2 linked regions of the Xenopus tropicalis genome follow. The protein of the gene in region 2 interacts with the protein of the main gene of each other region in a pairwise test. Links are inferred from orthologs where the notes say so. Each region holds a gene or a part of one and is shown on either strand. Other genes may lie near its edges.

Region 1 (4,532 bases), on a different chromosome or scaffold from region 2:
GTAGCCTCGCTCTCTCCCTGGGAGTCAGTAGCCTCGCTCTCTCCCTGGGAGTCAGTAGCCTCGCTCTCTCCCTGGGAGTCAGTAGCCTCGCTCTCTCCCTGGGAGTCAGTAGCCTCGCTCTCTCCCTGGGAGTCAGTAGCCTCGCTCTCTCCCTGGGGGTCAGTAGCCTCGCTCTCTCCCTGGGGGTCAGTAGCCTCTCTCTCTCTGGGGGTCAGTTGCCTCTCTCTCTGCACCTAGGGAAGGGTTACTAGGCGCTAAAATTAGTGGCTCTTGAACTGCTTAACAGGGGACTGAAAATTAACTAGCAAATTAGCTTCATGCCCCTTTAATTGATCTTAAGTAATATACTTCATTTATTATAATTACTATTTAGTATTGTATTGTCTTTACATTATTAAAGGGAAACATGGGGACCTACCCTAAACAGGATAGGAACCAATTTCTGGGTCCTCTTGACCTATAAGTTACCAATCCCTGTTCTATTTATTCACTGCCTATTACATGTAGCTATGGGTCTGTGAATGAAGTTTTTTATGTTTAGCTGTTGGACTTGAGACATTAGGAATCATTAGCTGAGACCCTAGACACAAATGCAAGAGCACAAAGGGGATGCAAGAGTGCGTAAGTTAAGGGAAAATGCAAGTTAGGGGACAGGTTGGGGGACATCTTCATGCCTCCCTTGCCCACACCTCATGAATACAGCACTGCTGAGTGAAGGTAGTGCTGTATTCATGGGCCAACACAGGTCTCTGCACTACGGTATAGAGTGTAGATACCTGTGGCAATTTACCTACATGCAGAGCACATGATCGTACCCCATTTTTTGTACTTTGCATGCTGCCCTGCATATAGTAATTAACCGAGACACCACCCCAGTAATGGGGTGGAAAGAAACTGCTTGTTTGATTGGTAGTGACAAGTAAGTGGGTTATTCAGGAGAACATTCCATTTAAGGTTCATTTACTGTGAGGCTAAATCATCTGAATTCTAAAAATCAGACTATGGGAAACTAACTGGAGTTCTAAATGTATCTGTGTCCCCAGGATTGTTCATTAATTAGCATCATCCTTACTCTGACATATTATTGACTAATTAGGATTCTGCTCAATAAATGAGGCTGGGATTGCCCATTACATAGGCAGCTGAATAACGTGATCAGTCTTTATATGAGGCAGTGTCCTTATTCGTCTCGGCTCTTCTCATTAGTGGGGTCATTTCTTTATATAAGGGCTTTCTGCTCTATAATGAACTGCCTGCTAATTAATCCGGCCTTTTTAATTAGCGGGGCTGTTTCTTACAGGCATGTGCTAATTTTTCTGGATTTGCTGTTTTGTTCATTAATCTATTCATTACACAGGACACACATATATTAGTCTGCTCATTAACAATAAATTGTATAATTAATTAAAAAGAGGATATTTTTTTTCATTTAAATTATGATCTCCTATCTTCTGCTCGGATTTGTATATCCCTTTGTAACTGGCTTATGATTGAGTAACACTAATTACCCATCCATTGATCAAAATCAGATACTTTGTTCTTTTTGTTCTGGGCTCACTAAAGTACTAATTGGTGGTTGAGTGTGTGACCAGCTTACAGACACAAGTGAAACCCCTTTATTAACAAGGAGATATTTTTGCAGGCTAATCTATTGATTACACGCTGTGTTTTTTAAATGTGATCATGCAATTTGTTGTAAAATTCAAAGTCTCACCGTTTCTGTGTGTTTTTGACTCATGTGCAGCCCCATCAGTAGGACTCCAACAAGGACAAGCACAAGGACCACCACCACAAGGACCACGCAGACAAGCTTCTTAACACCACCGAGACATGGGATGCTGGGAATTGGCAACTCCGAATAGACCTGCAAAGACAGTAGGGTGTTAGATACAGTCAAGTTGGTGTTTCTTCCAAAGCTTCTCTTTAGCAGGGTCGGACTGGGGGGTGAAGGGCCCACCAGGTTCCCACCCTAATTCCCCCCCGCAGGGGCCCCCACCCGACGGCCTCCACCGATCGCACGTAATTTAACGCATCAGGGGAGGAGCGGTCGGCAGGGGGAGTGCCGGCAAGGGTCAGGTTCAACCCTGACATCCATACAGACATATATTGATCAGAAAGACTGATAAGAACCACATCAGGCTATGGATACCCCATCTAACCTGATTGGCTCAGTTTGGACCCCCCAACCCTAGATACAAGCACAGTGTCAGACTGGGAACACAGGGGCCCACCAGAAATCCTTAGACCCTAGGCCCGCTTTCCAAACTATTTTTCCTTCTTTCCTCACCCAACCTCTTTATTCTCCTAGTCTCTTTTATTTACATGCTAGCATCTATTCTTCCATCTATTTCTCCTCTTTGTACCCATTCAGAAATAGGGAATGAGCATGAAACAGACCAAATGGTCAGGAGCAGAAGGGCCCACTGACACCTGGGCCCACCGGGAGTTTTCCTGGTATCCTAATGGGCCAGTCTGACACTGCTCTTTAGTAGCAATAATAGATGTATTTAGACCCCAGTGATGCAACATTCAGTGGTCTATATTCACTTTTATCCATTGTAGAGTTGTAGAGCTCAACCTTTATCCTCAATCCATACAGATATTCCTTTTTTTTTTCTGTCCCCACTGATCTGAAAACCATGCCATCAGATATGGTTAATTTATCAACATTGGGCAAAGTTGCCCATGCACAGTGACCCACAGCAACCAATTAAATTGTTGCTGCAACTGGCTGAAAAAAGCCAATCACTGATTGGTTGCTATGGGCTACTGCCTATGGACAAATTTGCCCAGTGTTGATAAATGAGTCCCAGTAAGGTTAATAGACCTGTGAGAGCTGCTTCTACTGATTCTACTGTTGCACAGTGTAAAGCATTTTTACATCACACTCCTTACATTGTTGCTCTAATAGACCCACTAGGGTCTGACGCACAATCTGCAGAGTGTTTCCAAGTTAACACACCCATGTTACTTACGGGTGGCCTCTCCATGAGGACAGCTTTGCTCTGGTCCATGTCTTTGTGGGTAATGCAGCAGTCTACCTTTGCTGAGGTTGGTCCACTTTTTATACCTGCCTGAATAAGAATAATAGCATTGAAGTGTTTCCCGCCCCTTTTCTGAGTGTTTGCGCATACTCTACTTGTGTTTAAAGAACAGAAGCACTTCTTAGGGCTTTAAGAGGCTTTAATAATTGACGCTTTATTGGCACAGTCTGCACAGGGTTTCAACATTATATTCAAATTATTATATTTAGATTTAAGATTGCTGTAATTGCTGCCCATTTTGCACCACGCTTTACAGAGAAATGTCAAACCTACTGCAATATTTATAAAATTAATAAAGTGCATTAATCCCAGTCTTCTAATTCACCTTCCTTTAGAGTGGGAATCGTATTTCATTCTCATGCACAAATTAAGTCTTTCAACACAGTTTGTGCAATTCAACAAAGATGTTTAGCAGACTGTTTGTAGTACCCTCTGCAAGAATTTTCCCCAGGCTTCTTCCAAATGTTCCCTGGTTTTAGTGCTGGAGAACCTTTGACCACGAGCCAGAAGTCCCAGGTGCAGCCATAGATCCTGTAATCCACAGAACATGAGAACCAAGTTGTGTACTCCAGGAAGATGAACCTGTTTTGCTATTTTGACAATGTTGTTATAAATTCTGTAACATAGGGCAATTGCTTGAGAAGGGCACAGGTAGGACTGGAAGAGGATCAAATGGACCAGTATGACCCATTAGCCAGTAAAGGTGCAATCATGTATCCAACAGTCACAGCCACATACCAATGTCAAGTAGTGGTCCAACAGAAAATAGATTATTTGCTGCTTTAAGTCATGGCAGCATGCATACCAGGCATAGGTGGCACATACAGTATATACTTCTGGCCCTATAGATCTTGGAGGAAATCACCACCTCACTTCGCCACCATGTTCATGTTTTAGTTATGGTTCTGGTTACAGTTACAGAGTCCACCAACATAGTAAAAATGTTTTCACAAGAATATGAAGGGCTAATTTGACCAGATAATAGTTAATGGCCTTGTGTGGAACCAAGCATATACGGAGTGTCATCTGGTGGAATAATTTATGAACACATGGCTTGGTCTTCTGGACAACATATGGCGTCTGTAAGAGTGTGTCTAGTCTAATAAGAGTGTGTCTAGTAGCCTCTGGGCTTTAGCTCTGCATAGTAGACAATACTAATATATAGACCAGTGTGAATTGTAAGTGGCCATGATATAGCACACTGGGCCTTCAACTAGGTGGGATGGATAACTGTATAATGTGGTAAGAGCACCCATTAGGTCTCATTTACAAACCAACAGGGCAAGGTGCAAAGTGCAAAAAGCAGGCATAAGCCACAATGTTTTCCATACTCTGCACCTGGACCCACTTTCAGCACCCAGAGGCTTAGACTTGCATTTTCCTGATGACTGCAGCTTTACCTGCCTTGAAAACCGATATCTAAATCATTCTAAATCTTAATTACAACATGAACATCTCTCATAAACACTCCTCAGTAGTGGACTAACA
Region 2 (3,701 bases):
TGTACTTCCTGCTCCTGGGCTGCTCTCTTTCCCATGGTCAGGCAGGAACCCACCCCCCCCTGGGTAAGTGAATCCAATCTCCCCCCCAGTACTTACCCAGGTACAGAGCTCTGATTCTCTGTACTTCCTGCTCCTGGGCTGCTCTCTTTCCCATGGTCAGGCAGGAACCTCCCCCTGGGTAAGTGAATCCAATCTCCCCCCAGTACTTACCCAGGTACAGAGCTCTGATTCTCTGTACTTCCTGCTCCTGGGCTGCTCTCTTTCCCATGGTCAGGTAGGAACCTCCCCCTGGGTAAGTGAATCCAATCTCCCCCCAGTACTTACCCAGGTACAGAGCTCTGATTCTCTGTACTTCCTGCTCCTGGGCTGCTCTCTTTCCCATGGTCAGGCAGGAACCTCCCCCTGGGTAAGTGAATCCAATCTCCCCCCAGTACTTACCCAGGTACAGAGCTCTGATTCTCTGTACTTCCTGCTCCTGGGCTGCTCTCTTTCCCATGGTCAGGTAGGAACCTCCCCCTGGGTAAGTGAATCCAATCTCCCCCCAGTACTTACCCAGGTACAGAGCTCTGATTCTCTGTACTTCCTGCTCCTGGGCTGCTCTCTTTCCCATGGTCAGGCAGGAACCTCCCCCCTGGGTAAGTGAATCCAATCCCCCCAGTAGCAGAGGAAGGCAGACGGGACAGCAGGAGGGCCCCGGAGTCAGGGTTTATTATACAGACAGTATCGCTGCCTTACAAAGGCAATAACACAAAGTGAGTCTTTGCTAAAGGAACATTGAGGTAAAATCCCTGGGGGAGGGGAGGAATGTGCCGTACCCCAGAGGTTCGGGTGCGGGGGCCCAGCAGTGCCGGTTCCGGCCCAGTCACACGTTATAGTCGGGAGACTTGCTCAGCGGCTGGCGCAGTCGGATCTGGAGGGTGATGAAGGCGCCGGCGCTGACGTGGAAGAGGAGCTGCAGGAGGGAGCGCAGGTCGTGCAGGTACAGGTTACACAGGCAGATCAGCCCAAACGCCAGGAAGGACTTGGTGTTCCTCCAGCTGGTACTGTGGGCAAACAGGTAGCACTGCGGGGGCAACGGGACAGAATTACCCACAGGCCCAACCCAACGGGACTCGAGAGTAAGAAGCAGAGCCAATGGGAGCCCTCCTGTATCAGCACCAGATTGGGCCCAACCCCCGGCCAACTGGGTCCATTCTGATCCAATCAGCACCATGGTCTCCCCAGCAGGGGGAGCACTTCCAACCCCCAGGGGATGTTCCCCTTTAATATGATTTGCAATTGGTCTTTTATTTTGTATTTAATTTTAACCTGACTTGGGGGGGCATTTAGGAATATTCTTAGTTTCCCAGGTGGAATTCAGGAGTCAGGGGGGCCCCACTGCCCTGGGTATCAGGTGGAATTCAGGAGTCAGGGGGGCCCCACTGCGCTGGGTATCGGGTGGAATTCAGGAGTCAGGGGGGCCCCACTGCGCTGGGCATAGGGTGGAATTCAGGAGTCAGGGGGGCCCCACTGCACTGGGTATAGGGTGGAATTCAGGAGTCAGGGGGGCCCCACTGCGCTGGGTATAGGGTGGAATTCAGGAGTCAGGGGGGCCCCACTGCGCTGGGTATAGGGTGCAATTCAGGAGTCAGGGGGGCCCCACTGCGCTGGGTATAGGGTGGAATTCAGGAGTCAGGGGGGCCCCACTGCGCTGGGTATAGGGTGGAATTCAGGAGTCGGAATGACTGGGGGGGGGGGGGGGGCACTTACCTGGTACATACAGGCTGCGGTTCCCAAGAAGAAAGCAATAACGCAGTTCAAATCGTCGTCATTCTGCAAAATATTGTTAAAGAAAGTGAATTTGGGGGGGTGTTAGGACACGCCCACCCCTCATGTGAAACCCAGACAGGGACCTGAGAGGATCTATAGGGAGCTCCAATAAAGGGGCCATTGTTACAGATAGGGTTAATGTTTAGCCCAAAGGGAAACCAGCACCGGATATTATTCATAATTGCCTACAGGGTTAGGGGTTTCCTTTATCCAATATGTCTCCTTTAAACGTTCATCTGGTTGCTAGGGTCACACATGCCCTGGTAACCAGGTATTGGTGAGAATGACAGTCTGGCAGATGGAAATGAAGTAATAACCATATACCGCTGACCCCACAAACTCCATAACTTTAGAAAGAAATGTAAAGAGAGCGCCGGCAGCGCAGAGAGAGCGAGAGAGCGCCGGCAGCGCAGAGAGAGCGAGAGAGCGCCGGCAGCGCAGAGAGAGCGAGAGAGCGCCGGCAGCGCAGAGAGAGCGAGAGAGCGCCGGCAGCGCAGAGAGAGCGAGAGAGCGCCGGCAGCGCAGAGAGAGCGAGAGAGCGCCGGCAGCGCAGAGAGAGCGAGAGAGCGCCGGCAGCGCAGAGAGAGCGAGAGAGCGCCGGCAGCGCAGAGAGCGAGAGAGCGCCGGCAGCGCAGAGGGTGACGGCAGTAGAGAGTGAGAGCGCCGGCAGCACAGAGAGCGAGAGAGCGCCGGCAGCGCAGAGGGTGTCGGCAGTAGAGAGTGAGAGCGCCGGCAGCACAGAGAGTGCTGCTGGGTAAGAGACAAAGATGAGATCCCAAGGGACAGATATCTGAGCAAAATCAAACCCAAAAATCAGAATTGCCTAAGCTGCCAATGAGAGCGTCTGTAATATCGCAGCCCGGCCACTAGGGGCCACTGTGGCACCTCCACACACAGGCACCTTCCCCACTCAGTGCCTGAAACTGGCAGTTTAGATTAAAAGATTTAGCAATAAACTTTATTTACTCATAAACTGCCATTAAGTGCCGTGCAGCGGGGCCCGGGAGCCCGAATATCGGGAATTCAATTACATTTACTTCATCTTTGTGGGGTTGTTTTTTTTTTTTTTAAAGGGAAACTCCCGTTTTATGAAGTTGTAGATTGCGGTGATGTAACAATATCTTTGTTTGCAGTTGGTCTTTAGTTTTTATTATTTGTAGTTTTTTAGTTATTTTATTTTCAATTCAGCAGCTCTGCAGGTTGAAGTTTCAGCAGACAGTTGGTTGCTAGGGTCCAAGATACCTTAGCAACCAATGAGATATATGAATAGGGGAGGGGCTGAATAGAAAGATAAGGAATAAAAAGTAACAATAACAATAAAACTGGAGCCTCACAGAGCAATAGGGTTTGGCTGCCGGGGTCAGTGACCCCCATTTGAAAGCTGCAGAGAGACCCCCTATTTCTGACATTCAGGCAGCAAAACTACACCATCAGCCCCAGGGGGCCGCTGCCAAGTTACCCCAGGGGGCCTGACAGACAGACCGAGAGACCGACGGACAAGAGACCGTCAGACAGAGAGACCGAGACCGTCGGACAGACAGAAAGACAGAGAGACCGTCGGACAGACAGAGAGACCGTCGGACAGACAGAAAGACAGACAGAGAGACCGTCGGACAGACAGAGAGACCGTCGGACAGACGGACAGACTGACCGTCGGACAGACGGACAGACTGACCGTCGGACAAGAGACCGAGACCCTTAGACAGAGACCAAGACTGAAAGACAGACAGAGACAGGCAGACAGAGACTGCAGACAGACAGTTGCAGCCGCTCATGCAGAAAGGAAATCTCAGTGCATTAAGCTGATGTGACAGGAAAGAGACAGGAGGGAAAGGGAATAGAGTGCATTTAGCTTATGTGACACACGCCAGAGGGGGGGGGAGAGACAGTAC

Evidence for each region.
Region 1: the proteins of sec22a (region 2) and sftpc interact in binary tests that used the Homo sapiens proteins (3 or more experiments, as listed by UniProt). The two-hybrid records come from large-scale screens. The link is inferred for Xenopus tropicalis from reciprocal best matches to the Homo sapiens genes SEC22A and SFTPC.

The regions. Positions count from the first base shown.
Region 1 is NC_030679.2:129,600,092-129,604,623, reverse strand, and holds the start of sftpc (pulmonary surfactant-associated protein C proprotein), read right to left. Parts: upstream 3,026-4,532; 5' UTR 3,015-3,025; coding exon 2,976-3,014; intron 1,865-2,975; coding exon 1,715-1,864; intron 1-1,714. UniProt on the Homo sapiens protein: Pulmonary surfactant associated proteins promote alveolar stability by lowering the surface tension at the air-liquid interface in the peripheral air spaces.
Region 2 is NC_030685.2:88,985,767-88,989,467, reverse strand, and holds the end of sec22a (vesicle-trafficking protein SEC22a), read right to left. Parts: intron 1,813-3,701; coding exon 1,750-1,812; intron 1,064-1,749; coding exon 863-1,063; 3' UTR 690-862; downstream 1-689. UniProt on the Homo sapiens protein: May be involved in vesicle transport between the ER and the Golgi complex.